Cricetulus griseus: one gene and its partners. The protein of the gene in region 2 interacts with the protein of the main gene of each other region in a pairwise test. Links are inferred from orthologs where the notes say so. Each region holds a gene or a part of one and is shown on either strand. Other genes may lie near its edges.

Region 1 (4,237 bases), on a different chromosome or scaffold from region 2:
GGAATCTTGAGTCTCAGCATGTCCCATAAAGTGAGTGTCCTATACACAAAGAGGCTGAGCCTTGAAAACTGACGAGTACAGATCTTCACAGGAGTCATTCATAGAAATGGGGTTTAAACACAGGCCCAAGGAACGCTGGAGCCCTATTCACTTTCTCGTATTGTAGCTCTCCATTAGAAGCCCTCCTGTGGATTCTCTCCAGTCTGGGTGGCACTGCCCACAGTGCCATTGTCTTAGAGAAATAGGGCTGTTAGAGCTGGTGGCAGAAGACCCTGTCCTTTTTGGCCTCAGTATTGCAGTGACTGATTCCTTGGCCTCTGAGCTCTGATGTGTTCCACCTGCTTGCCAGCCCCCCTTCCTGCCTCCGCCTTCCTCCCTGTACTTAGGCACGCAGAGCAGAGCCTCTAGCTCAGCCCCTCCCCAGCTGGCAGCAGCTGACAAGGCAAATGGGGGTTAATCTGGCCCCTGCTAAGCAGCGACATGTCTCTTGCTGAAGAAGGCGGGGGACTTTCTGGAACTCGCCTGGGTCTTATCTGCAGAGGTTTGCCCCAACGCGTCTTGGGAGCAAGCAGAGGTTCAGTGACATGTGCAGTTGGCTGGTGACAGGACCATCAATCAGACTCCTGTCAGCCTGAGCCTTCTGGGCTTTTGTGAACTAGCCAGGACCCTGGGCTGGGGGGGGAACTGAAGAGGTAGGAGGGACTTCTGGAATTGGGGTGGTGGGAGGGCTGTGAGAGGAGAGAGCATGCCCAGGTATCAGGGATGGGAGAGAGGGACAGGCACCGGCTTTTTTGGTCAACTCGTTTGGAAGTTGACTTGAGACCCTATTAGCCTGCACTGTGGTCACCTGTGTTCTCATTCCCGGGGACTTCCATGTCCCGAAGGCTATGTATAGGGCGTTTGAGTAGGTAGTACAGAGCAGTGGTGGGAGAAACTGAAAGCAGGAAGCTTTCTACCTGGGGTGAGGCTCACATGCCAGCAGTGGGCTGGGGTGGGAGGCAGAGCTGGCCTGGCTGCTCTAACGGGATGGGACATGAGGGAACTTGGGTGCTATGCTGAGGGTTTGCTCTTGTGGCTCTCTTCTCCTTCCTGGAGTGAGAAATGAACCTGTAATCCAAGTGTTAAAACCATGGCCTAGAGCAAAACCCCATTAATTCTGAATCATCTCTCTTGTTGCATTAAGAAAAAAAAAAAAGAAAAGAAAAACTCACCACAAGCGAGCCCTGTGGAGGTGTGCAGGCAGCTGTATTTGTCTGGAAGGCAGAGGAGTTGGCTCCACTCAGGGGGAGGAGGCAAGGCCCCCACCCCCTTGAAACAGTATATAAGGAATCCCAGGCTAGGGGCGACAGCACTGCAGCCTGGTTTCAGCCCAGCTCAGAAGCTCCTGCTAGAGTCCCTCCTGCTTGAAAAGGACACGAAGGCTCAGGCTGCCTGACCATGGCCACCACATTCTTGCAAACTTCTTCCACCTTTGGAGGTGGCTCTACCCGAGGGGGTTCCCTCCGTGCTGGTGGAGGCGGCTTTGGTGGAGGGAGTCTCTACGGGGGAGGTGGGAGCCGAAGCATCTCTGCTTCTTCTGCTAGGTTCGTCTCCTCGGGGGCAGGAGGGGGATATGGGGGCGGTATGAGTTGTGGTTTTGGTGGTGGTGCTGGTAGCGGTTTTGGTGGAGCCTTTGGTGGGGGTTTTGGTGGTGGCTTTGGTGACTTTGGTGGTGGCGATGGAGGTCTCCTCTCTGGCAATGAGAAGATCACCATGCAGAACCTCAATGACCGCCTGGCCTCCTACCTGGACAAAGTACGTGCCCTGGAGCAGGCTAACACGGAGCTGGAGGTGAAAATCCGAGACTGGTACCAGAAGCAGAGCCCAGCCAGTCCGGAGCGAGACTACAGCCATTACTTTAAGACCATGGAAGAGATCCGGGACAAAGTAAGTCCTCATATATATGTCAGACAGAGGGAAACAGGCAGTAGGTGCCCTGTACACATATGCAACAGCAACATTGCTGTTGACTAAGAGAGTCCTTCCCTGCTGTGTAACCTGGCAAGGCTGGGATGCACCTGCTTCCCAGGCACATGTGGGAACACACGTGTTCCACTTGGCAGTGCTGGGGGAGGGGAGGGAGTGGTCTTGGGAATCTGATTTGGATACACAGGATTGCAAATGAGGGCAACAAAAGAGAGCAGCTCCTTCTCCCTGCCTCACAAAAACTTTCAGGGATTTTTGCAACTGATTGCTTTAACTTTGTGACCCGTGTGCTGTTCAGGCACAACCTCAAGAGTCCTAAATGCCAGGGCTGTTTACTTCAGGCCTCAAGGATGTCTTTATTGTTGATCATTGCTAGATCTTAGGAGACCAGGGAACTCAGTGGAGGCTGTGCCACCCCCTCACTTTCCCTTTTAACTAACTGGATCTGTTTTCCTTAGTGGCAAACACGTTCCTTAGCTGCTGTCCAAGTTCCCAATGACTGCAATGTTTTGGAGATGAAGGGCTCTGTCAAGGCACGCAGGAGGCAGCCACTGTGAGCTGTGCCCAAGTAGGCTGGTATAGTGTGTCTCCCGAGAGTCCTGACCTGACAGAGCCAACTGTATCCATTGCAGCACGGTCTTGACTAGCCATGCCCCCAGGCAATCCCAGGCAATACTGCCTCGTTAGTTTTCCATTCCTTGAAGATGCCACAGGGAAGGGAGCATGGGCCAGCACAACTGATGCACACAGGAAGAGAAGCTGGGCAGTAGTTGGCGAAGGGGGTCGTGCAGCAGCCCTAAGGTACAACTCTGTCTCCTGCAGATACTGGCGGCCACCATTGACAACTCGCGTGTCATCTTGGAGATTGACAATGCCAGGCTGGCAGCGGATGACTTCAGGCTCAAGTGTGTTCCCATTTCTCCACCCCTGTCCATTTCACCCCCTCTACCTAGCCTTCCTCCTCTATGACTCAGAACCTGGGCCCCTCACCTTTCCTGACTTTGGCTCCTCTCCCCTCCCCAGGTATGAGAACGAGCTGGCCCTGCGCCAGAGTGTGGAGGCCGACATCAACGGGCTGCGCAGGGTGCTAGACGAGCTGACCCTGGCCAGGACCGACCTGGAGATGCAGATTGAGCACTTGAATGAGGAGCTGGCCTACCTGAAGAAGAATCACGAGGAGGTAACAGCAAGACAGGGTGGTAGGAAGAAGCCCAGGACAGCCAGTCTTTTGTCACAGTCCTCTGAGGGCTTGGGGATTAAGAAATGTACCTGGGGGGCCCCATGGAAGAGAAGGGGCACTAATCTCTGGTAATCTGGACCCAAGGCCAAGCCATGTGTGAACTGCAGAATTGGTTTGCTTCATGGGCTTATTATCTCAAGGTCCTTGTTTCTTAGGACCCAGAGCAAGAGAGATCCTCAGAACTGAGGGGTCCATGTGTTCCAATGGGGAATAGAGATAGGGTGGTGTGATGTGCTAAGGTCACATTGTGAGTTAGAGACAGTCAGAGTTAGCCCTCAGGACTCTCGATTCTTTGTCTGCTTTATAGCCTTGTCTCTAAATGGTTGTCACTCCCACCCCTTGCAGGAGATGAAAGAGTTCAGCAGTCAGCTGGCGGGCCAGGTCAATGTGGAGATGGACGCTGCACCTGGGGTGGACTTGACCCGCATGCTGGCCGAGATGAGGGAACAATATGAGGCCATTGCGGAGAAAAACCGTCGGGATGCAGAGGCCTGGTTCTTCAGTAAGGTGGGCCTGACACCCCCAGCTCTGCTCTCTCCCTCCTTCCCACTCCAGAGGCCTCTGAGGAGGCCCATGAGGCTCATGTTTCTCATGTGTGACTTGCAGACGGAAGAGCTGAACAAGGAGGTAGCTTCCAACACAGAAATGATCCAGTCCAGCAAGACGGAGATCACAGACCTGAGGCGCACCATGCAGGGGCTGGAGATCGAGCTGCAGTCCCAGCTCAGCATGGTACGGTCACTCTCTCCCTACTGGGTGACACATGGCCAGTAAAGCCTCACCTCACACATTCCTGTCACCTCAGGCAGTCCTTACCACCCTTCCTGCTCTTCTCCCTCCAGTGGGTTGCCTTCTAGCCCAATGGGTTTATGCATCTGTCACCCCACCAGAAAGCCGGGCTGGAGAACTCTCTGGCAGAGGTGGAGTGCCGCTATGCCACACAGCTGCAGCAGATCCAGGGGCTTATTAGCAGCCTGGAGAGCCAGCTGAGCGAGCTCCGCTGTGAGATGGAAGCTCAGAACCAGGAATATA
Region 2 (4,255 bases):
CTAGAGAAATACAGTACAGAGCAGATAGTGTGTCTCACCTTGTCCCACAAAGACTGTAGTTCTTCTTGTCCACCTAAGTCCCAGAACATGAGACGAGCCTTCCCCACGTCCACAGTGCCAACTGGGGAGAGGATAGAATGAGCTAGCTCCTGACCTTACTCTTTACAAAGTCCCAGCTCTTCCTGGAATGAGGAAAACCATTCTGGTACCAATCCCAGCAGGCATGCACAGAGAGGGATCTGGCCCCTGGCCAGCTGGGCTACGTACGGGCTTGCATCTCTAAGGGACCCAAGCTCATATCCCCCTTACTGTTTAGGCCCACGGTAGTGGTGATTTTGGATAGACTCATCCCTTTGTAGTTCTTGTTAAACCGTGTTTTTGATTGTTCCAAGAAGGTCTGAGGAAAGAAAGAAAGGTGGTTAGGTAGTGGCAGCTAAAGCAGTTTCCTGGTGTCTTTTCTAAATATCCCTCCACATCCATATGCTTTGGGCAAATTCAGGCTTTCACACCCACATGGTTTGGGCAACTTCAGGCCTTCACACCCATACACACATGCACACGAACCTCTGCCTGTTGAATGCTCTTCGGGAGGCTGGTGGCAACTAACCTGTAGTCTTGGGTAGGGATTAGATTTGCAAAGAACATAAGGCAGGGAAAGGGAATTGGTGAGAGAACAGGCACCTACTGTCTTCCCGGCATTGTCCAGGCCTAGGATCAGGATGCAGTATTCATCCTTCTGGAACATGTACTTGTACAGCCCCGAAAGCAGCGTGTACATCCTGCCCTGGCACCCTGAGAAATGTCAAGGTGTGTACCAGGGCTATCGGCCTCCTGTCCGCTTCATCAGTGGTCCGTCGGTCCTGCTAGTTTTCAAATGTGGAGCCTCGTGGCTCGCGACTCCTTGCCCCCCTCTCCCCAGCCCCCGATTCCGGACCCTGCCTCCACCACCGACCACCCGCTAAACCTGGGCCACTACTCCCACTGCGGGTCATCTTTGTGAATACACCATCAGTCCTGAAAAACCCATGGCGGCCTACCCTGCTCCGCCCTCCTAAGGCTTCTTTTCCGGACCCTCAACTCAGCACTGGGAACTTCGACTGTCGTAGCTACCAGAGAGTCAGCTTCTGAGTGGGCCGCCTTTGGATCCCCCCCCGCTGCCGGGCCCACGGAGCCAAAGAACCAGCTGCCGAAGCCGCTTCCCTGCCCCCTACCCCAGGATTCTGGAACCCCGGCCCCTCAGTCCGGCGGAGACCCACCTGCACCTGCTCAGATCTCGGAGCCGCAGACGCCGTCGTCGCGTCGCAAACCCCACCGACCTCGCGTTGACCCCGCGCGGTGCCTGTCGGGACACCGACCGGCCGACTGAGTACGAGAGGGCGGAGCCGCATCCCGACGGCCCCCGCGCGCCCCATCCCGGAGGCTCCCGAACGCGGGCACTTCCGGCAGCATCAGCTCTCGGGCGGAAGTGCCCGCGGCGGGCGGAAGGCTAGCGCGAGGGCTCTGCTGGCGAGGCCGGAAGCCCTTGTAGGCTGCGAGCACCGGCGGGAGGCGGGGCTGCGGACCGCAGAGGACGCGGTGGGATACTTTGCGGTTCCCTTGGCAGCGCCGAGGTCCTCCTCAGCCTCTCCAGCGGCCGGGGAGGGGGCGGCGTTGTCCTGAGCTCTGCCGACTGCTCTTCCCTCAGGTCTCGTCTGCTTTAGCGGTTCCGAAACTAGCCTGCGCGGTGTAGCGATGGACGAGGACAACCTGGAGACGGCCCTGCAGACCTACCGGGCCCAGCTCGGGCAGGTAGAGCTGGCTCTTGGTGCTGGCCTGGACGCTTCCGAGCTTGCGGACCTGCGCCAGCTGCAGGGCGATCTGAAGGAACTGATAGAGCTCACCGAGGCCAGCCTGTTGTCGGTCAGGAAGAGCAAGCTGCTGGCTACAGTGGACCTGGAGCACCAGGCAGAGGAGGACGCTGAGTACTTGGCTTTCCAGAAGGCTGTGGCGGAGGAAGGGGAGGCACCCGTCGCCCCCGTGGATGACTCGGAGACTGTCCCTGGGAGCGTGGTGCGGCCTGGACCCACCTCCCCTGCACAGGAGGAAGACGAGGAGGATCCAGATCAGGAGGAGCTGAGCGGTGCTAAAGTGAATGCCCCTTACCACAGCGCTTGGGGCACGCTAGAGTATCACAACGCAATGGTTGTGGGCACTGAAGAGGCAGAGGATGGTTCGGCATGCGTTCGCGTACTCTACCTGTACCCTACCCACAAGTCCCTGAAGCCCTGCCCGTTCTTCCTGGAGGGAAAATGCCGCTTCAAGGAGAACTGCAGGTAAAGCCCTCTGCTACTAGCAATAAGGGTCACTCGAGCAGGACCACTGCTGTGGCCTGCCGCCTTCACAACTTGTTCTCCACCCCGCAGAATTGATAAAAGAGAAGGGGGAGCTTCAGGTGGCTGACAGGCTTTAACAGGAACATTCCCTGTTAAGTAAACACATAAGTAAACACATTATATTCATTCTCTCTCTCTCTCTCTCTCTCTCTCTCTCTCTCTCTCTCTCTCTCTCTCTCTCTCTCTCTCTCTCCACCTCCCACCCTCCCTCCCTCTTTTTTTGGATACAGAGTTTCACTGTGTAGCCCTGTCTGTCCTGGAGCTCGCTCTGTAGATCAGTCTGGCCTTGAACTCAGAGATCTACCTGCTCTGCCTCCCAGGTGCTTGGGACTAAAGGCGTGTGTCACCACTTCTAGCTAAGATTTATTTTTGTGTGTATTTGTGTGGGTATGTGAACATGAGTACAGGTGCCAGAAGGTGTTGCATGTTCTACAGCTGGAGTTCCAGGTGCTTATGAGCCACCCAACATAGATCCTGGAAAACAAACTCAGGTCCTCTGCAAGAGCAGTATGCTCTCAACCACCAAGCCATTTCTCTAGCTCTATATACTTACTTTTCTTTTTAATTGTGTGTATGTGTGTGTGTTTGTGAATACATGTGTACTTGAGTACAGGTGCATGAGGAGGCTAAAAGAAGGTGTTGGATCTCCTGAAGCAGGAGCTTCAGGACTACTGGTAGTGAACTACTTGGGTCTTCCTCAAAAACATTACACATACTCTTAACCACTGAGCCATCTCTCCAACCTCCAGAGACCACCTATATTCCTTGGTTTGTGGTTCTCTTACATCACTTTAAGCTCTTACTTCCATGGTTACATCTGTACTCTGCACATTTTATTTCTTTACTTTTTCTTTAACATGGGATCTCATGTAGCTTTAAGCTGGCCTTGAAATCCATATATAGCCAAGGATGACTTTAAATTCTTCATCTTTCTGCTTCTACCTCCCTAGGGCCAGGATTACAAGCATGTGCTACCTAGCTTGGCTCTGCACATCTTTTTTAGATCCTAGTAGACTTGACATGTTCCTTGCTCACTCTCTTTCCTTCTCATGCCTATAGGTGCATAAATGATCAGTGTGCTCAGTGGGTTTTCTCCAAGAATACACATGTTGCTATAACCAGTGGCTGCTTTATCTGCCATAGTCTTTTTGTGGGAAGCCCTGTGATGAGAGATTTAATACCTCTAAGTACTTTCTCTGACTGACATATGCTCACTTCTCTGTGCACGAACCTATGGGTAGGCCCTGAACTCATCCCATTTTATATAATTTTTGTTTTATTTTATTTTGTATGTATATATGCATGTGCCATGGTGCTCATGTGTAGGTCAAAAGACAGCTTTTGAGTGTAGGCTCCTTCAACCATGTGGGCCCTGGGGATTGAATTCAGGTCATCAAGCTTGGCAGAAGGTACCTTTACTTGTCAAACCATTTGTCAGTCCCCACCCCACTTTATAGATGGAGAGACAGACACCAAAGCACTAAGTGATCGGTACAATGTTGCTGGCCGTGAGACCACTTCATCACAAGGAGCTGCTTGTGGTATCAATTTTAGGGCAGAACTAAAAGACAATAAAACATCTAACACCATCTTTACAACCATCCAGGATGAATGAGTTGTTTTCTTGAATTTGCTTTAGATTTTTTTTGTTTTGTTTTGTTTTGTTTTTGTTTTTCGAGACAGGGTTTCTCTATGTAGCTTTGGAGCCTATCCTGGCACTTGCTCTAGAGACCAGGCTGACCTCGAGCTCACAGAGATCCACCTGCCTCTGCCTCCTGAGTGCTGGGATTAAAGGCGTGCACCACCAATGCCCAGCTTGCTTTAGATTCTTAAAAATAAATTTAACTAACTCCACCTGCATTACCATAACTTTGGTGTATGTC
Region 3 (4,291 bases), on a different chromosome or scaffold from region 2:
GAGGAAAACCTCCCAGAACAACTTTACTGTAGGAAAAGGATGTGGTAATGCATGGTTTTTATCCCAGCACTCTGGAGGCTGAGTCAGTGGATTTCTGTGAGTTCCAGGTCAGCCTAATCTACATGTGTCTGGCCAGCTGGGGCTACACAGTGAGACTCTGTGCAAACAACAAAAATAAAACTTACACTGGGGAGGCTTTCTTGGCCTTCACCAGACCACTATCCCAGGAGCAAGCACTTAGTGTTACAATGATTTAAGCAAGGTTGATTTTATAACCCACAAGAATGAAGATGGGCTGGAGATGTAGCTTAGGGGTAGTGATTGTCTGGCATGTACGAGGCACTAGGTTCATCCTTAGCACTGAAAAAATAAATTAGGATGAAGTTTTCCTTTCTCCAAATTACCCAAGACCTTATTCGTTTATATGGAAAAACAAAAGTAGCTGAGGATCTGTAACTTCTACCTAGCAATTTCTCCTATTTTTAACCATAGTAATTTGTGTACTTTTTTTTTTTTTTTTTTTTTTTTGGATAACTGCTTTCCATCTTAGTTCTGGTGACACTCCGGATGTGTATGAAGGCGTTACTAACTTCAAGAGGTATCTAGCGACTCACTATTGCCAAAGCTAAACGTTGACTTCTCTCCCCTCACTTGTTATAATTCTTCTCGTTTCCTCCTTAGACATTATCTATTAGCTCTAACATCCTAACAGCTGCGCCGACCTTTCTCCGTTTTAGAGTTTTCACGTGAGGCACCCGAAGGTGCTAAAAGCTCAACCCAAGAAACAATTACGTCTGCGTCACCAAGCGGACACTGCCCTGCTGGCCACAAGTGCAATGCCTGCTCCCAGATGTTTACCTTGGGCTCTATGAACGTTTAAAAAATTATGCAAAACTGCTGGCAACTTTTGCCAAGGGAGGCGTTTCCCACGGGCCGGTCCCAGCCTTCGAATGTCAAGTGGTGCTGGTGACCGCCGTTTTAGGAGTTAATTGCCATCCCCCCAAACTCAGACATTCAGGAGCAGCTTAGGCTCAATAGCGTTCTCTCGGCCTTAACCTCGCGACGGACCCTGAATCTCCCTCCGCGCATCACCGAGGGCAAAGCCGAGGAGGGCTGTCCCGCTTTCGAAACCTTCGGTGGGAAAATGATGCCCACTGCCCAGAGCCGGGAGTCCTCCTCAGTTGGGTACAAGACACGCCAGGGAGCCGAGAGGGTCGCCGCAGCCGCCTCCACCAGGCTCCGGAACAGGAGTGTATTCACTGAGAAGACGAGACGCTAACAAAAGGGGCGGGGCTGCCGGCCGCACCCTCTCCGCCTTTACCCGCCTCCTTTGTTCCTTCCTGAGCGTCTATTGGCCAAAGACACTCGGGCCCGCGACCTTCTTTGAGATACTATTGGCTGAAGTCGCTGTCGCTCTACCAGGGACCCATTCGCAATTGGTCAAGGCGCCGCCCGGGTTTGAATCGTCTCCCCGGCCTGGGAGGGCTCTGCCAAAGTGCCACGTTGGGCCGGGCAGCGGGTGTGTGGTGCCGGCTGCGGGCGCCACCCGGGGTGCGCTCTCTAGGGCGCTGGCCGTTGGGCGGCGCGAGGCGGACGCGGGCCGGCGGCGGGAGTTGCGGCGGGGCCGGCGCGTCCCGCCCGAGGGCGGCTCTGGCTGAGGGCGGAGGGGCCGGGGGACAGCCCGGGGCAGCGGCCGAAACGGCACGGTGGCGGCAGAGCCCGCTGCCCCCGGACACCCCCAGCGACATGCTGGCAGATAACCTGGTGGAGGAGTTTGAGATAGAAGATGAACCGTGGTACGACCACCGGGACCTCCAACAAGGTGAGGGCGAGGTCGCCGGGGTTGGGGGGTGGAGGCCCGGCAGGCGACAGGTGTGGAAAGTACTAGAAAGTTCCTTAGGCTGGTGGTCTGGGATGCGCGGCCGGGGGCTCCTCACTCTCACCTGGCAGCGGATCCGCCCATCCCGGCCGCCGGGAGCAAGCGCGCGGCCCTCGGCCCTGCGGATGTGCAACGCTGGCTGATGCTCGGCGCTTTAAGAAAGCGCTTTCTCGGGGGATGAGCGGATCTATCTCCTTCGGGGACCTCTGAGGTGGGCAGGGGTGAACCAGTGTGCCCCGCTCTAGAAGCAAGCTGCTGACTCTGCTTCTGGTCCTGCTGCCCTGCTCGCCCTCATGCGCTTTTCATGGCCCGCAGAGTCTGCAAGCCGCTGCAGGTGGTGGGGGTGCAGTACCGCACAGCAGTGCGGTACCCGCGCCATCACTCTCTGAGAGTGATGTTTTGTTATCCCGTTTCCCAGAAAGCAGAAGCTGAGTTAGGTGGACTCCCTAAAGCCGAATATGGGAGCTAGTATTTTTGATCCCACGCACTCGGGATGAGGAGCCTGTAGACACTGTTCGGACCTTAGCACCCCAGTGTACAACTTACAATTGGGTGTCAAACTGTTTTGTTTTGATATATTACTTTGGCGTCGTTTATCGGGTGCCAAGTGAAATTATGTGAGAAGAGTTCTATTATGCCTTTTTTTTTTCATTCGGATTTTCAATTAGAAATTATCCTGCCTTGGCTTTCTTGATTGTGGCATCTCCTGAGAACAATCTCAGAGTGCCCTCAGTTAGAAGCCAGTGGCCCATTTTCTTGCACAATCGTAGTAGGATTTTTCGCTTGAGGACACTGATAGGCTCTTAACACAATGATGGGCGCCTTTAATTCTCCCAATAACATCATGTGTTGCCATAGGTTACCTCTGGCTCAAGTAGATACTGTTGGGGAAATGAGGTTTTCACTGCAGACTCCAGAGCAAACATTCTTAACCACCATTCAGAGTGATCACCAGGAATTCTTCCAAGCATCCTGTTTGTTCTATTCTAGAGAATTATTTCCACTCTAAACTTGTAGTGAAAATTATCATCTTTGAGTTGGCTATTAAACACGGCTACTTGTTCACAATTCCACTGAGTTTGATAGAAAAGAAAAATGTGGACTTGAATGACCCTTACTTAGAAAAGAGAAAAAGAAAACAGGTACCTCTCTGGACAGGTGGTAATTTGTTATTTATTTCTGTCTGTCTTGATCCCTTAATGTGCAACGACTTAAGCCCAGATGGATACCTGTACTTGTATAATTGAAGCTACCTAGCAGTTACAATGCCGATTTGCTATCACATTTCTCCATGTCCAGAAGACGAATGTGTCACATACTTAGCCTATTTCAGATTTGCCCCATAAGGATTGATGACCTACTTTGATACTTAAGGACTGAAGCAGTCATCATGCGATTGCAACATTCTACTATATGAAAGCAGTTCATATAATCCAAGCAAGAGATTTTGCTTTGCCATATTTAAGAAACATCCAAAATCTTCAAGGGTAGGCTGGTTATACTTGTCTAACATCATATATAACACTTCATAATAGAAATGTGATTTAATAATTGTTGCCCTGAATTGAAGCTCTCTCTCACACAGGATTACTGTTTTCACAGCTTTCCTCTAACCAGTGCCTACTCTAACCTGCTTCCCCAGAAAGTTGTCAGGACAACCAATTTTAATATCCCAATTTACTGAGCAATAAACAAAACACGTTTGGGACTATGTGTGGGATTCTTAACTTCGGATCAAAATGAAGTTGTCACATCTTCATGTTTAGCAAATCCTAATATCTGAACTTATTTACTGTCAATTTCCACTTGGAATTTCTCCTATACTTTCCAAAGCCTTTTACATCTGTTATCACAACAGTAGACTTTGCCATAGCTTAAACAGCATATGGAGTACTAATAGGAGACGTGAAATCCCAGCTGTTAGCTCGTCAGTATGCAGCTGAAAGAATAATGGCTGCTCTTTTGAGCATATTTTCTCCAATTTTGCTAACTTGTATGTTAAATGCTTTTGTGTATTTGGTATTCCAGGATTGTGTGCATGCAACATACCACTGAGCCATTCTAGAACTAAACTTTGAACAGAATTTACAACTGTTTCTCAAGAACATATTGTTTTCTCTATACTAGGTATTTTTGGTTTTTGTTGTTGTTGTTGTTGGGTTATTTTGGTTTTTTTGAGACAAGGTTTCTCTGTAGCTTTGGAACATATCCTGGAACTCATTCTGTAGACCAGGGCTGGTCTTGAACTCAGAGATTCGCTTGTCTCTGCTTCCCGAGCACTGGAATTAAAGGAGTACGCCACCACCACCTGGCTTTATACTAGGTATTCTTATAGGCAGTGGCACCACTATCCTAGCCAGCTATCTGTTAGGAAGGCAGGACTCCACTCGGGGGTTGCTGTTCATGAATCCA
Region 4 (3,964 bases), on a different chromosome or scaffold from region 2:
GTGAAATTTTGTTTACCCCCTCCCCCCAATTCACTGAGTCTCTCTTTGACAAATGCCCTGGACTTGGGCTGGCCAATAGGGATGGTAATAGCTCAATTTTATGCTATGCATACCCCCTGGGAAGCTACACCTGCAGAGAGCCATGTCAACCTTCCTTCATTGGTAGATGTGACTTCTCTGCGGGAACTAACTTTTCCAGGTTCTCGTCTGCTTATGATATTAGAGCAGGGACTGCTGTTCTACCAGTTCTGTTCCTGAACTCTTGAAAGTACTCCAGAAAGCCCTAGCTCCCCAGAAGCCTCCACCCCTGCTTTATTTCAACGTGTCCCTTCCCAGAGGCAGCATGCAGTGGAGGCGAGTCCTCAATGGCGAAAAAGTAGTGGAAAGAGGGGTAACCACTGCTCCCTTAGGATGAGACAAAGTCTCTGCCACCACAGCAGCTGGTCCAACTGGAAACCTCAGATAAGTCCAGCTCTGGCCAAAACTGGTTTGGCAGCTCTGGGGGAATGTTTCTGGCTGACTGACCCTCACAGCAGGTGCTGGTAGTTTTGCAAAAAGAAAGAGAAAGGGGGAAGGAAGGGGGCGGGGGCTAAAGGAACTAAAGAGGCTGGCTAAATTCAAAACACTAAACTTCGGCTCACTTGCAAGTTTACACTTGGGGATTCATATAAAATTACTACCAGCCCACCAGCCTCAGTCCTTCCCTCCGGTCCTTTGCAAAATAGTTTCGTTGCAATGCAGTTTGTTCTGCAGCGCGCTTGTTGAAACTACTGAATTCGGCCGAAAGCGACTTTTAGCTGTGTTTCCCCACCCCGCAATGCTACTGTTATTATTAAGGCGATTGAATCTCCGCTCTTTCCCCTCCTTACTGCAATCTCACTCCGGCTGTGATTGCTCGGGTCTGACTTCGCGAGTGGCGGTGCGCTTCCAAACCCCCTCATCCGCCCCTCGCCCGGCTCTCCCCACTCCCTCCTTTTCCGCGCCCAGGCGAAAGCAGCCGATTGGCAGAGCGGGGTTTTCAGGAACAATAACAGTGGGGGGAGCCGGGGCCCCGGGGAGCCTCCCCGCCCCCGGCCCGGCTGCGGCTCACGCCCCCCGCGGGGTCCCCACCTCCGCGCCGCCCCGCGGGCTGACCGGCGCCCGGGCCCGCCCCCGGCGCCCACCATGTACGCCTTTGTGCGGTTCCTGGAGGACAACGTCTGCTACGCGCTGCCCGTGTCGTGCGTGCGCGACTTCAGCCCCCGCTCGCGACTGGATTTTGACAACCAGAAGGTGTACGCAGTGTACCGGGGCCCGGAGGAGCTGGGCGCCGAGCCCGAGAGCCCCCCGCGTGTCCCCCGGGACTGGGGCACGCTGTTGCTCCACAAGGCCCAGATCCTGGCTCTGGCAGGTGAGCAAGCGGGCCGGGAGGGGCGTTGGGTCCGGGCGGACTGGGGCTGGCTCTGGGAGAGGCTGAGCGGTCGGGGCCGGGGAGCCACAGCTTGCTCTAGCCTCCTCTTCCTGCCCCTTGGGCTTTCTTTTGGGTACCAGGTGTCTCTAAGAGGCCAGACCAGTTAAAAAGACCCAAGGGTCCCCTTTGTCTTCCTTGCTTCTCTGACACTCCCGCGCCGGGCTGTCAGCCTGCCTTCCCTACCCTCATCTTTCCGACTCTTTTGTATTCTCCCTGCCTCTTCACTTTCCCTTCACTAGCTGCCTCCCCTTACTTACTGTCATTTCTCCATCTCTCACCTTTACCTCTCTCTCTCACACACAGTTGCTTTCCTCTCTGTTGCTTTCTATCTTAAGTTTCTCAAACTGTTCCTTCCTCTCTCCCTTTAAGGCCCTTGGTGTCTTCTTGGAGCAAGAAGCATTTTTAGGTGTGTTAGATGGGAGCTCTTTATCACAGAAAGAATCTCTGACACCTTCTCCCATCATCAGGACCAGGCGACCCAACTTCAGTTGTACTGGCCAAGTGGCAGAGGGTCCTAAAAGAGCTTCACCTCCACACCCCTTTTTGCACCTCCCAGAAAGCTCCCTGAGAGAGAAAAGGGGGCAAACAGCCTCTAGTTCAGGTTAGGGCCTGATCCGCTAACTCTGATTGCACACGGGGTCAGGGAGAGAGACTGACAGACAGGCAGATAGTTTCTAGCTTGGTGGGTAAAGATACAGAGATTTGGTTGGTTGACAGGACAAGCCAAGCTTTTCAGCCTCCTGGAGTGTGCCATACATAGGCACGGGGTTCCTCTCCAAGTAGACAGTTGGCCTTCTTTCCCAGCCACTTGTAGAAGGCTTGGGTGCACACCAAGCAGGGAAAAGGAGCTTGTCACTTCCATGGGGGTGGGGAGTAGGAGTGGGGGCAGAGATGTGGCTGCTACTGGTAAGAGTGCTGCCTTTGAGTAAGCAGAGACAGAGTCACCTTCGACCCAGAAGACAACCCCAGGGTAAACTAGGACCCCAATGAAGACTGTCAGGATTTTGTGGTTTTGACACTTTTCCTACTTTTTCCAGGGTCCTGTGTTCTCTTTCCTTTAGCCTAAAGAGGAACCTAGCAAGAATCATAGTGACTTGCCCAGGATTCCAGGACAAGCTGAGTGGAGCTCAGCCTCATGGCTGAAGTCTTTCTAATTCCTCTGGAAAGTAGGTTTGTGGGAATAAAGGAGCAATAGATTTGAAGTGCATCAACACCGTGAGGTCCCTTTTTTGACAGGTTGGGTCCTTACCACTTCACTGACAGGCCCTGGGGGCACAGAGCTGTAGGTCCACTCACCACCAGACACCAAGGTCCAGGGAAAACATGAGTGAGGCAGATAGGTTTTAGAACAGAAGTCTTCGTAGCTGATTAGGTTTTGTTTGCTTGCTTGCCTTTAATTACTTAGGAAGGGATTAGGAATCTATTCAGCAAGAGGATAAGCCCAAGGAAATTATAACTAGGTGTAACTTTAGCTTCCCTTTTGCCAGAAGAAAAGAGAGCATGCGTCTTGATGATCCTGTCATATAGAGACCTGGAGAAGCCCATGAGAGTGGAAGGGGTGGATATCAGAAGTCCATGGTAAAGGCCTTTCCTGGTCTACAGATTGTTGATCTACATGTCTGTCCACTCAGACATAGACATCCATTCATTCAGCAAGTGTAGATACATGTAGTTCTTCAAGGACTACCAGAGGCTAGTTAGGCAGATGGCAGCCTCCACCAACTCTCCTTTTAAAGTCAACACGAGTTGCAACGAGATACTAAAATATGTACATGTATGCATACATCAGCAAGAACCCTAAGCATTGGATAGAAACTCAGCAGAGTAAACTATGGTCCCAGTTTCAGCAAACCAAGTTAAAACATGCTCCTTCTCATCTCCAGTTTTTTCCTTAGGAGAAGAAAAGAGGTGGGTGAGTTCCTGGCAGGGAGGGGTGGGGACAATGGCAACTTGAGGTTAGCCGGGCTACATTTTGAATTCCAGTAAACTGGTTAATTTTTAAATTGAAACTGTTGTTCTTGGTGCAGACCTGATTGGAAGGGCCAGTGTGAACCTGGGAATTCATGTATCCTGGAAGTCCTCTCCCTTGTGTGTTGAGCTTGGTGGCTCTGAAGCTTGCTTGAAGTGGCTTCACCAGAAGAGAGCTCATCTGACCCATGCAAAGACCTTGCTATTGTCTAAATGCAACCAACCTCCTTGAGGGGCTTAGGGACTCAAACAAAACTGGTTCCTGTAGGCTTTTATCACCTTGTGAGTCATAGGAGCAGAGTTGTGCTGTGGTGCCCAAGTTTGGGGAATTAGTTCCTCAAATAGTTCCTCTAGAGGAAGGCAGAGGTGGCTTTGCAAGTGTAGACAGGTCCTGGTTAATTAATTATTTCTGACCTCAGTAGTGTGGTTTCAGAAGACACTTCCGAACCACTTACGGCATTTGGTGATAAGTGTGTTACGTTGGCATACATTTGTCCAAGCCAACCACTGTAGCTGTCTTGAAGTAAACCTGTTGGGAACCCAGGA
Region 5 (3,315 bases), on a different chromosome or scaffold from region 2:
GTACTTGGAGGTTTGGATCAGATGGGAAGCACTCTTTAGAGCAGCATTATATTTCTAAGGATGAACTGGGGGTGGGTAGTAAAATAAGGCAAGAACCTGAGTGAAAGCCAATAGTTTCACTGTAAAAGCCGAGTGGCCAGGCACCACAGTGATGCATGCTGGGCATGGTGACATACCTTTAGTCCTAGGAGGCAGAGGCAGACAGATCTCTGTGAGGTCAATCTAGTATACATAGTGAATTCCAGGCCATCCAGGGATACAATGAGACACCCCCCCCCCCCGAAAAAAAAGGTAGAAGATTGGGTCTGGAGGGATGGCTTAGAGGATGAGTGCTTGGTCCTCTGAAAGAGTTCAGTTCCCAGCATCAAAATGGTAGCTCATTACTACCAGTAACTACAGTTCCTGTAGGATCTAATGCCCTTTTCTGTCCTCTACAAGCACCCTCACATGTTCATATGTGTGACAGTTGTATACAGGAACATGTACATATAAACATTAAAAAACATGAAGAGTACTAGTGAGGGCAGCAGAGAGTCAACATGCTTGGGTTGGATGCAGCTTGGGAGAGGCTTTGAATGAGATTTGGGGTGGGGGTACTAATCTATCTCCCCCCCCCTTTATCTCTATCTCTTGTTTTTTCAAGACAGGGTTTCTTTCTCTGTGTAGCCCTAGTTGTCCCGGAACTCGCTCTGTAGACTGGAATAGTCTAGAACTCACAGAGATCTACCTGCCTCTGCCTCCTGAGTGCTTCTTCATCTTTGGGGGGGGGTAGGCAGACAGGGTCTCTATGTAACACTGGCTGGCTTCAAGTTCACTGAGCTCCTCCTGCCTCTGCCTCCCAAGTGTTAGAACTGAAGGTGTGCACCATCACACCTGACATCTTCCTGAGTCCTCTACTCTCTCCACAGGGTGGTGAAGGAAGAGATTTCAGATGACAATGCCCGCCTACCTTGCTTCAATGGAAGGGTTGTCTCCTGGGTAAGGAGAGTCATTACCAAGCTGCTTCCAACCTCAGTCTCTTTCTGCAACTCCCCGCCTTGCCCAGTCATTGGTGGCCCTGGCTTCCCACTTCTACTTGTAGAAGCAGAGGGCATTCCTTAGCCATACTGGCTGTTTTTTCTGGGCTGTTCTCCCGGGTCTCTGAGATCCTGTTCTCTTTCTGCCCCTTTCCCTAAGTCTTTCCACTTAAACCACTACCCAATGGAGCCATGTTTTCTTGCACTCTTTTAGCTAGTGTCATCAGATAACCCCCAGCCTGAGATGGCTCCCCCAGCCCATGAGTCTCGGACAGAACTGGTTCCTCCACCTCCACCATTACCGCCTTTGCCTCCAGAAAGAACCAGTGGTATTGGGGACTCAAGACCTCCATCCTTCCAGTGAGTCCTTTACACTCTTGAATCTAGGGGAGGGGGGTAAAGAGGGAATCCAGTCCAAGCCCTTGGAGAGGGGAGACTGAGGATTTGGTGCTGTTCTGTTGACACTGGTTGGAAACTGTCTCTACCCATGTAGCCCCAATGTGTCCAGCAGCCATGAAAATCTAGAGCCTGAGACAGAAACTGAGTCTGTTGTATCACTGAGACGAGAACGAACTCGAAGGAGAGACAGCAGTGAGCATGGCGGTGAGGGGACAGGCCCTGGAGGCAGGGTAGACTGGGAGCTGGGAGGGGAGGTTCAGCATGAAGGATGGGAGGCCTGGCTCCTGAGGTTCTCCTTTATACATAGCTGGTGGCCACAGGCCCAGTGGCACCTCAAGGCTGGAGCGCCACCTGGCTGGGTACGAGAGTTCTTCCACCCTCATGACCAGTGAGCTGGAGAGTACCAGCCTAGGAGACTCTGATGAGGATGACACCATGAGTAGGTATGCTTCACACATCTCCACCCAGGAATCACTCTCCCCTCCCTCCCTCCCTCCCTCCCTCCTCCCTCCCTCCCTCCCTCCTCCCTCCCTCCCCTCCCTCGGGCTCCCTGACCACATCTACTTCCAAATGCCCTGCTTCTCAATCGCTATCAGATTCAGCAGTTCCACTGAGCAGAGCAGTGCCTCCCGCCTCCTCAAGCGCCACCGAAGGCGGAGAAAGCAGCGGCCACCACGCATGGAAAGGGTGAGGTTTCTTTGGGAGAAGTGGGCCTTTGTTTAGCTGGTCCACAGAGGCTTGGGGCTTGTCTCTGTACTGGTGAAGAGCAGTTCACCTCTTTCCTGTCTTCCTGCCACAGACCTCATCCTTTAGCAGTGTCACCGATTCCACAATGTCTCTCAACATCATCACAGTTACACTCAACATGGGTATGGAAGCTCCTAATGAGAGAAGGGGAGGGGAGGGTCTCCAGGGTTTCTGGGGCTTAGTCCCCTCATGTGAACTCCCCCCACAGAGAAGTACAACTTCCTGGGCATCTCCATTGTGGGCCAAAGTAATGAGCGGGGTGACGGAGGCATCTACATCGGCTCCATCATGAAGGGGGGCGCTGTGGCTGCTGATGGGCGCATAGAGCCTGGAGACATGCTTTTGCAGGTGTGCTGACAGGTTGGACACTGGCTTGGGCAGAGGCTCTCACCCTCCCACATTGCCTCTGACCCACTTCTCCCTTCCAGGTGAATGATATGAACTTTGAGAACATGAGCAATGATGACGCTGTACGGGTACTGAGAGACATTGTGCACAAACCAGGGTGAGCCTCTGCTAGGTTCCCACCCTTAGGCCTCTTGTTTTTAAGTTCTTTCACCTTTGTTGTGCAATTTAAAAAAGAAGTGAGGCCAGGCATGGCGGCACACACCTCTAATCATAGCACTTGGAAGAGGCAGGTGGCACTTTGATTGTGGTCTACATAGTGAGACCCTGTCTCAAAAAAAAAAAAAAAAAAAGCAAAATAACAAATCTAAGTGGCAGTACATGTCACTCCAGCTTAAATCATGAAAAAATTTTGGTGACTACCTCAGAAAGCCCACCCACTGCACACTCCTTCCCACTTCCACCCTCCTCACTGATGGTAATTACTCTCTTGACTTCTTTGGTCAAGAAAACCTTTGATGGGTTTTTCCACCCATGCCTGAATCCTGGAACAAGATGGTTCAGTGTTACCTGTCTCGTGCTTCCTGTGAATGAATGGTACAGTGTGTACTCCCTTGTTTCACTCAGCACTATGTTTTTAACTTGCCCATATTGGTGAGTCATCCACATTGTGGAGCCCTCCACTCTCACGTTCTCATAGCCCAGTTATGTGTGTGTTCCTTTCTCCTGTATCTTATGCATCAGACGTTGGTACTTCTGAAGTCTCTTCCCTTTGTGTGCTTGACTGTGACTGGCCTTCTCTTTTCCA
Region 6 (4,205 bases), on a different chromosome or scaffold from region 2:
TTCATATACACGGGGGCCCCAGTTCCCCCATCACCTTAGGAAACTCCCAGGAATATGACTGAGTAAGGCAGAAACAAGGGTGTGAGCATATTTCTGGCTTGGGTCTGCCTCTTGGACTCCACAGCTAAGGCAGGAGCTCTGAATTAGGTAGCAAAGAGTTGACAGCTGGTTCTTCCTCACATTCTAATAGAACGAAAGGCCCTTAGGGGTCCAAGAGATTCAGATATGGCTGAGGAGATAGCAGCGGAAGGACAAAGGCAAGCTGTCTGGGGGAGGGTTCAGATCAAGCACCAAGCATGCTATCAGGAAGTGGGAACAGCGAGTACAAGGGAAAGACTGATGGGGTTAGGAAGACTACAGAATGTAAGGCAGGAAAGTAGGAATGACGCTAGACCACTGGATGCTGCCCTCCTGGAGCACGGGATTCCCAGACACTCCCCATCCCTTGGGAACTGTGCTGGCTGAGGTGTGTGAGTCAGTGCTGGCTTCTGACCCAGGGCTGGGCCACACAGTTTACCTATTTATTTATTTATTTATTTATTTATTTTGTGTGATGGTGCGAATGCACACCACAACATATGGAAGTCAGAGAAAAACTCAAGGGAATTGGTTTTCTTCTTCCACTATGTAGGTCCCAGAGAGCAACTCTGGTCATCAGGCTCGCCCATCCACTGAGCCATCTCCTTGGCCCTCAGATAACCCGAGGATTTAAATGACTAGCTAAGACAGAAACAGAGGCACGCCTGCAACAGACGCAAGCCTGATGTTGGGCTCATGCAGGCCCTTCCCAGTAACCTGCTTCACTCCATTCAACTCTACTTAGTCCATGAAAGCCTGGGTCCTGCATAAACGCTCACCTTTTGATGCCTGAGGTATCAGGGCAAACCCTGGAGAGCACTCAATGTGGCCCCTCACCCAGAGCTCCGAAGTACGACCGATCCCTTCACTTAGCGCCCCCCCTCCCCGCCTGGTGATCGGCCCCCGGTGCAACCTCCCTCCAACCTTGCCATGTGCAGTCCACTGCACCCTTGCCATAGTCCCAAGTGCAGGCTACACTAACGCAATGCAGGAAAGATCTGCGTCCACGGAGCAACTCCCCACGCCCGACTCGCAGGCTCTCCACCTGAGCTCCCAGCCCGTCCGCCTGCCGGCGCCTCCTCGCAGATGAAATTAGCCCTTTGGGGCTACAAGATGGGCACCCTGGGGACCCTCAGGCCACCTGGGGGGAGGACACAGAGCGCCACAGGTGCGGGCTTTTGCACTACTCAGGGAGTCCCACAGGTCAGCAAACCCTATTCAATGCCAGTGTGGACCCCGCGGAGGTCGGAACTCTGTGTTGGGGTTCCTGTTTCTGCACGGAGGGATCGGAGCGATGCTCACAGTGCACCCGGACCCAGGCCGCGGACTCCAGTCGCTATGGTAACGTGGCCCGCGCTAGAGGTGCGACCGGAGGGCGGGCGAGCGGGCGAGCTAGTGCTGGCGCTCGGAATCCCGGCGGCCCCAGAGCGGGCTGGCGCGGTGCCTGGTCGCGCGCCGGGAGGCGACGAGGATTTCGCTGGGCCCTGCCGATGGAGCACGGGGTGAGTGGCATGGCCATCGCTTCAGGTTCCGGCTCCCGTGGGGCTTTGACCCAGGCTCCCCAGACGCCTCCCTCAGGAAGTAGTAGCCTCGGGCGACCATCGCGAGGCCGGCAGCGGCACTGGGTGCAGGGTGCCCCGAATCAGCACGTTAGCCGCAGTGTTCCCCCTGCTCTGCAGCCTGGATCAGCGCCGCGCTGCCCCGCTGACTTCATAAGTCCGTTATTTTGTAGACTGCATCTCATCCTCGGCTGGCCCGATATTTAACATAAGATTGAGTTACTAACATTTAGCATTCTGCCCTCGTGCCTCCCAGGAGACAGTGGTGTCTATCAAATGGCTATCATAAAGTTACTGTTTTCTTCTGGGCACGCCTTTAATCCCAGCATTTGGGAGGCAGAGGCAGGCAGATCTCTGAGTTCGAGGCCAGTCTGGTCTGCATAGTTCCAGGACACCCATGGCTAAGTAGAGACCCTGTCTCAAAAAAAGTAACTAAATAAGCAAAGTTAGGTTACTATTTTCCCGTTATAAATAATAAATACCTTTCGGGGGAGGTGCTTGCTTGTGTAAAGTCCTGCTTCTAGCCGTGTTTTCAGTGACTAATTTTAGCATACATCAGTGAAAACTTCCTGATTTTTTTCATTTAATTTCACGTTTTATTCTTTCATTGCTTTGTTTGGTTTTGGTTTTTCGAGACATGGTTTCTCTATGTAGCCTTGGCTGTTATGAAAATCACTCTGTAGATCAGGCTGGCCTCTAACTCGAAGATCTGCTTGCTTCTGGTTTCTGGGTCCTGGGTTTAAAGGCATACACCACCACCACCCAGCCATGTTTTATTCTTGCTATGTTGGGTAGAGAAAAGGAATCACAAGTTAGCCGAATAAACCATTCAGACCTTTCAGGATAAACTGGGATCTAGTTTCCAAAGGTCTTTATTTAGAACCAGGATCAGAGTAGGTTTCAACCACTGCTCTGGCATCTGCGGCCCTGGGAGAGCCACAGAAAACAGGCACAGAATGTATTCTCCAGGGCTCCTGTCTGGGTACAGGGCCAGTCCTCCATGAAGATAGCAGGTGAAGGAGACTCAGCAGCTCCAAGGGATTCAGGATGACACAGGCCTGGGGCTTGTCATGAAGAATGAGATTATTGATGTCCCCACAGATCAGACCTCACAGGTCACTGTCCTTCCACCTATATCCTGGAATTATTTATGAAACTCTTCCATGAGCACCAGGCAGGAATTTACTCCTTAGCTTCAGAAATAGACCAATATAAGCCCATTGTCTTAGTCACTGTTTTATTGTTGTGAAGAGACACCTGACCAAGGCAAGTCTTATAAAGAAAACATATGAGGGAAAAGGGGCCAGCTGATGAAACACAGCCTGAGCAGAGCCAAAAAGAAACACACTTTGGCCTGGCAACTAGAACCAAAGAAACACACCCTGACCCTGAAACCAGTGCCAAAGAAACGTGCTTTGTCCCTATAATCAGAGCCAGTGAAAGAAATACATCCTGGCCCTAAAATTAGAGCCAAAAGGCTAAAAAGGACCAGTGAAAGAAACACACTTGGGCCCTGAAACCAAAACCAGATCTGTCCTGCCCCTGAGCAGAAAACCAACCAATCCCTGAGCACTTAGCATGACCCAAAGCCCCTGGCAGATACTAACTACCTGGTCCATTACAGAGCAGCTGTCAGGCCCTGTTCTAGGTGATTTAGAATTTACAGGAAGACCTGCCACAAAGCTGTGCCCACTGTCCAATGGAAAAATCCATTATTTCCTGTGAAATGCACTCTTGTTTCTTTAGTTCTGATGATTTGGACTGTAATTTAAATTTTCATTTATTTTATGTCTGTGTGTATGCTTGTGGAACCATATATACGAAGGAGCTTGTGGACTCTAGAGGAAGGCATCAGAGCCCCTGGAATTGGAGTTACAAATGCTTGTGAGTGGTCATGTGGGTTCTGGAAAAGGAACCAGGCCCTCTTCAAGAGCAGCCAGTGCCCTTAACCACTGAGCCATCTCTCCAGCCCGACTGTAACTAATTTTTGTTATCAGTAATTTCATGAATGAACTTTTCTCTAAGTAGTATCCTTGCTTATATAAAGAGCACCTAGGAGCTGGAGAGATGGCTCAGAGGTTAAGAGCACTGGCTGCTCTTCCAGTGGTCCTGAGTTCACAATTCCCAGCAACCACATGGTGGCTCACAACTATCTATAAGATCTGGTGCCCTCTAGAACACTGTATACATAATAAATAAATAAAATATTTAAAAAAGAGCAGCTACTGGCTTAGGAACTCTGAAGTTGGTGTAAACACATAACACAATATACCCTAACTCACCTGAACTCACTCACCTATATTACATCACACACAGCACACACACCTTGCTATAACATACTCACATACCTTCACAGCACCACACATGCATACACATAGCCTACAGACAACACGTATAATGCCACGTTCTTCACACACGCACCGTGCCCTCTCCTACATGCATACGTACATCACAACACAAAAGCAAACCCCTGTGGTCCCCCTGCCCCTATTATGAGTTTTATGTCTGTGGTTGGTTGATTATTGTTGATTTGAGTATAGGTGAGGCAACCCCCATCATCTTCACTTT
Region 7 (4,162 bases), on a different chromosome or scaffold from region 2:
ACCTGCTTTCCATTTGGTGGGGCCCCTCTGCTCTGAGATGTGGTTTGGATTGACAGGATGACCTGGCCTAAATTAACCGTGGCCAGTGTGCCCTGGGGCTCCCCTACATACCTGTCTGGAGTGTAGACTAGGGCTAGCTTCCAGATCAGAGACATGAATAGCCGCTGGAGAATTGTTTCCAACTTCCTCTTGGACGCAGGAATGGACAAAAGGCTGCTATTTGCAAGCATTGCAAGCCAGGCCCCCTAGGGTGCAAAGGAACCTTCCTGGTTGGCTTAATTGGCAGCAGAATGTTTTTGTTTTGAGACAGGGTCTCCTTGTGGCTGCCCTGGAACTCTCTTTGTAAACCAGGATGGCCTTGAATACAGAGAGACCTGCTTGCCTCTGCCTTTCCAGTGCTGCAATAAGCTACTATAATGTCCAGCTCTTTCTGGGATAAATCTTCAATGGGAATGTTAGAACAGCTTGAGCATATTCAGCAATGCTGAACCATAACGGTTTTCTTTTTCAAGACAGGGTCTCACTATGCGGCTCTGGCTGTCCTGGGAGGGCTTCTAACTCAGAGATCTGCCTGCCTCTGCCTCCTGGAGTGCTTTGATTAAAGGTGTGGTAAGGATTTTCAAACTAGCTTCTGGCTACTTTTCCTTCCATTACCTCAAAAGGTAAAGAAACACATCTAAATCACAAAGCAACTCTGGAGTAAACAGGTATAATATTCAGGAAAGACCAAATGTTTTGTTCTAGCTAATCGGTGAGGAAACCGAAGAAACAAGACCCTAATAGGCCCAACTAAGACTTGGGAGAGGAACCCCTCAAAAAAACATTAAATGTATGCTTTGAAGATTTGAGTCTCCCCCCATTTCATCATAATACACTATTTCACAGCAATTAACAACTAATATGAGGAAATATAAAATTAATTTAGTTTAGCTTGGCGGTGGTGGCACAAGCCTTTAATCCCAGCACTCGGGAGGCAGAGGCAGGCAGATCTCTGTGAGTTCGAGACCAGCCTGGTCTACAAGAGCTAGTTCCACGACAGCCCCCAAAGCCACAGAGAAACCCTGTCTTGAAAAACAAAAACACAAAATAAAATCATGTTCTCAATATCTCAGCCTCTCTGGGCTTGCCTTTTCAAATGGTCTGAAGGGGACCTACAAAGGTTTCTAAAGGGTTATCCCTGACTAGAATAAGTGCTTCGATAAAGAGAGGAAATTTGTGGAAATCTCTTCCATTTGACGTTGCTAAACTTAAGAACAATAATGTCATATGTACTTATACAGTAATTGTGGGCACGCCTAAGTCCCTCCCTCTGTCCTTAAACCAATATCCCCACATCTTAGAAATCCTAGCCCTTTTTCTGCCCTCCGGAGGCGCCTTTCCCAACGTAAAGTACAATTTTAAAATTTAAGCTCGCGACTAAAAGAATGATCCGCAGTCAACTGCTGGGGAATCTGGGCGCCCCAGCGCCTGCGGAGGGTGCAGCCGGGTGTGGGCACGGACAGGGGGAGTGGGCGAAGCTGCTGGTTGGTGCCTGAAATCTGTGCGTTGCCCCTTTAATTGTGTCCTCAGCCCTCGGGCGTTTCTGTCCAACGCCCACGTCAGCAAATACCTTTTGTTTCTCCCACGTTGGGGCTACTTGTTTTAGGGCGCACAGCCTCGGCTTCGGAAGGGGGTGCTTCCCCCACCGGGAACCGGGAATTACTCCGCAGCGAGCACGAGCGGCCAGAGCCCCGCGGTAAGTGGCTGCGAGGGCGCGGGCGGGCAGAGGGCGGCCGGGGCGTCGGGGCTGCGGGCCCGGCCGAGAGCCTGGCGGAGGGCGGCGAGGCCGCCGGGTGCGCCCCGGTGTGTAGGCGTTTTCGGGGAGAGCTCCGGGGCCGGCGACGGCCACAAAGGAGGCACGGGCGGCGGCGCGGCGGCCCGGGCGCGGCTGCGGGACAATGGCTGCGTCGTCGCCGCTCGCGCCCGCGCCCCGCCCGCGGCCGGCCCCGGAAAGGCGGGAAGGCGCCGGAGCCTCCTGGCGGCGGCGGTAGGGAGGCGGCGCCACGGAGTCGGGGCGTGTCTGCAGCCGTCGGGCGCCGTGGCGGGGGAAGGGCGCGGGGCGCGGGCGCGCGGGGCGCGGGGCGCGGGGCGCTGCCGCCCGGCGTTCTCACTCCACCCACCGCCCTCTCGCTTTCGATCACGACACGACACGACACGACGGTTCCGAGCTTAGAACCGAGGACAGGAATATGGAGCCCCAGCTGGCTCCCGGGAGAATGTCCCTGGCATCTCCCACCTGGCGACACTATCTGGTTTGGTCCCTTCGCGCTCTGGCGCGCTTAGTCGCCCTTGACCGTGCGGTTAGCAGTATTCCACGTCTTTCCGAGACGTGTTTGGAATGGGATTCACACCTAGCGGGCACCCAACCGCACACACCGCTAACACCTTAGAAGTCTTTATGTTTGCAGGACTTTAGTAAATGGAGTGGTTTCGCTTTCATGAAATAGTTCACTTGATTTCTTATAAGACAACTACCTGTTCAGGCCGTTTATTCTCCCTTGCAAAGGAAAGACTCTAACCACGGAATCTCACCCCTAGACAGGGAGTGTTGACAACTTCTCCAGCCCTCCTATTCCAGCAGCCTCCTGGAGCAGTCAGTCTCCAAGAACCAAAAACCTTCACTGATCTTTATCACTTAAGGCTTACTTCCATTTACCTATTTAATTTTGTTTTAAGCTGGACTCAGGCTAGCTTGAAATTTTGATTCTATCTCTACCTCGGGAGGGTTGGGATGAACTAGTCGAATTTCAGTCTGTCTTAAATCTTTTAATGGCATAATTATATTCTTTAATATCAAAGGGGTTGATATAAGGTTGTTGTTGTTTTTTTTAAATTTTCCCTGATTTTTAAAAAGTATCTTCTTTTGAAGACAAGGTCCTATGTAGCCTAGGCTGGCCCCAAATCTATATAGTTTGTGATGACCTTGGACTCCTGTTTCTCCTACAGCCACCTGTCAAGTGCTGGGGTTGCAGGCATGAATCTGTGCTGGAATTGAACCCAAGACTTCATACATGTTTACATAGGCACTCGACTAATGAACCATATGCCCAACCCTCCCCAAGCCTTAAATGGCAACCACCCCCACATCTTACCAAAAAAACCCAAAGGCTCAGAAGACCTATAGTCTTCAAGGCCTTATAGGAACTGGGCTCACTGTGTTTGTGTGTGTGTGTTTCGGGATTGAACCCAGGGACTTGCACACGCTAGACAAATATTTTACTGTTGGGATACATTCCCAGACCCCTTCCTTATTTATTTATTTATTTATTTATTTATTTATTTATTTATTTATTTCTCAAACAGAGTTTCTCTGTGTAGCCCCGGCTGCCCTGGAACTCCTGACTCTGTAGACCAGGCTGGCCTCGAACTCATAGATCCACCTGCCTCTGCCTCTGGAGTGCTGGAATTAAAGGGGTGCGCCACCACCATCCAGCCACATTTTTTTTTTTTTGGTTTTTTTGTTTGTTTTTGTTTTGTGAGATAGGGTTTCTCTGTAGCTTTGGAGCCTCTTCTGGCACTTGCTCTATAGATCAGACTGGCTTCCTGAAAGACCTCAGAAGAGGTACTTTCGTAGAAGGAGACCCGCACCCAGGAATCAGCGAAACCACGAACTCTGGATGTAAGAGCAAGAGGCTTTATTAGTAGCGCTGGTACCCCGGGGCTTAGCTTTTGGGTAGGCTAAGCCCCGAGCCAAGGGAGAGGGGTCCTTATATAGCTAAAAAGCACAGTGCAGAAGCGAAAAGCATAGTTACAGGGATTCTATTGGACAATTTAATGAGGTACAGAGTTATCAGTATATTCTCAAGGTCTGCACCTGGTACAACAGACCCAATTCCCCCCTCCGCGTCCAGATGGCTGACCTTGGGACGGAGGTTCCCCATGGGGGGGGCGTCCTCTCCCCGCTCGGCCCCAGCCCCGGGGCGCGGCGCCAGGCGGGCGGGCCTGGGTCGAGGGCCCCCCGCCTGGGTGAACCGGCTTGGGAGGGAGCCAGCCGCCAGGCGTGTGGGAGTGTGCGCGCGTACGGGAGTGTCACCGAGAGAGAACCAGCCAGGGGGCGGGGTCTTTCACTCCAACTCACAGAGATCCACCTGCCTCTGCCTCCCGAGTGCCAGCCACATTTTTT

Evidence for each region.
Region 1: the proteins of Zgpat (region 2) and Krt15 interact in binary tests that used the Homo sapiens proteins (3 or more experiments, as listed by UniProt). The two-hybrid records come from large-scale screens. The link is inferred for Cricetulus griseus from reciprocal best matches to the Homo sapiens genes ZGPAT and KRT15.
Region 3: the proteins of Zgpat (region 2) and Cdr2 interact in binary tests that used the Homo sapiens proteins (3 or more experiments, as listed by UniProt). The two-hybrid records come from large-scale screens. The link is inferred for Cricetulus griseus from reciprocal best matches to the Homo sapiens genes ZGPAT and CDR2.
Region 4: the proteins of Zgpat (region 2) and Bend5 interact in binary tests that used the Homo sapiens proteins (3 or more experiments, as listed by UniProt). The two-hybrid records come from large-scale screens. The link is inferred for Cricetulus griseus from reciprocal best matches to the Homo sapiens genes ZGPAT and BEND5.
Region 5: the proteins of Zgpat (region 2) and Dvl2 interact in a two-hybrid assay, tested with the Homo sapiens proteins (2 studies listed by BioGRID and IntAct). The two-hybrid records come from large-scale screens. The link is inferred for Cricetulus griseus from reciprocal best matches to the Homo sapiens genes ZGPAT and DVL2.
Region 6: the proteins of Zgpat (region 2) and Ccdc57 interact in binary tests that used the Homo sapiens proteins (3 or more experiments, as listed by UniProt). The two-hybrid records come from large-scale screens. The link is inferred for Cricetulus griseus from reciprocal best matches to the Homo sapiens genes ZGPAT and CCDC57.
Region 7: the proteins of Zgpat (region 2) and Zbtb8a interact in binary tests that used the Homo sapiens proteins (3 or more experiments, as listed by UniProt). The two-hybrid records come from large-scale screens. The link is inferred for Cricetulus griseus from reciprocal best matches to the Homo sapiens genes ZGPAT and ZBTB8A.

The regions. Positions count from the first base shown.
Region 1 is NC_048600.1:112,452,061-112,456,297, forward strand, and holds the start of Krt15 (keratin, type I cytoskeletal 15), read left to right. Parts: upstream 1-1,437; coding exon 1,438-1,926; intron 1,927-2,787; coding exon 2,788-2,870; intron 2,871-2,988; coding exon 2,989-3,145; intron 3,146-3,550; coding exon 3,551-3,712; intron 3,713-3,811; coding exon 3,812-3,937; intron 3,938-4,095; coding exon 4,096-4,237.
Region 2 is NC_048599.1:540,403-544,657, reverse strand, and holds the start of Zgpat (zinc finger CCCH-type with G patch domain-containing protein), read left to right. Parts: upstream 1-1,455; 5' UTR 1,456-1,731; coding exon 1,732-2,312; intron 2,313-4,255. Other genes in the region: Arfrp1 (ADP-ribosylation factor-related protein 1), read right to left, coding at 39-121, 310-397, 686-778. UniProt on the Homo sapiens protein: Transcription repressor that specifically binds the 5'-GGAG[GA]A[GA]A-3' consensus sequence. Represses transcription by recruiting the chromatin multiprotein complex NuRD to target promoters.
Region 3 is NC_048596.1:79,675,557-79,679,847, forward strand, and holds the start of Cdr2 (cerebellar degeneration-related protein 2), read left to right. Parts: upstream 1-1,491; 5' UTR 1,492-1,746; coding exon 1,747-1,822; intron 1,823-4,291.
Region 4 is NC_048595.1:38,560,093-38,564,056, reverse strand, and holds the start of Bend5 (BEN domain-containing protein 5), read left to right. Parts: upstream 1-1,164; coding exon 1,165-1,390; intron 1,391-3,964. UniProt on the Homo sapiens protein: Acts as a transcriptional repressor.
Region 5 is NC_048600.1:83,851,011-83,854,325, forward strand, and holds part of Dvl2 (segment polarity protein dishevelled homolog DVL-2), read left to right. Parts: intron 1-908; coding exon 909-978; intron 979-1,230; coding exon 1,231-1,376; intron 1,377-1,509; coding exon 1,510-1,619; intron 1,620-1,722; coding exon 1,723-1,858; intron 1,859-2,011; coding exon 2,012-2,102; intron 2,103-2,214; coding exon 2,215-2,284; intron 2,285-2,370; coding exon 2,371-2,510; intron 2,511-2,590; coding exon 2,591-2,667; intron 2,668-3,315.
Region 6 is NC_048600.1:133,406,168-133,410,372, reverse strand, and holds the start of Ccdc57 (coiled-coil domain-containing protein 57), read left to right. Parts: upstream 1-1,405; 5' UTR 1,406-1,580; intron 1,581-4,205. UniProt on the Homo sapiens protein: Pleiotropic regulator of centriole duplication, mitosis, and ciliogenesis. Critical interface between centrosome and microtubule-mediated cellular processes. Centriole duplication protein required for recruitment of CEP63, CEP152, and PLK4 to the centrosome.
Region 7 is NC_048595.1:23,663,049-23,667,210, forward strand, and holds the start of Zbtb8a (zinc finger and BTB domain-containing protein 8A), read left to right. Parts: upstream 1-1,362; 5' UTR 1,363-1,735; exon of another isoform or gene 1,736-1,824; intron 1,825-4,162. UniProt on the Homo sapiens protein: May be involved in transcriptional regulation.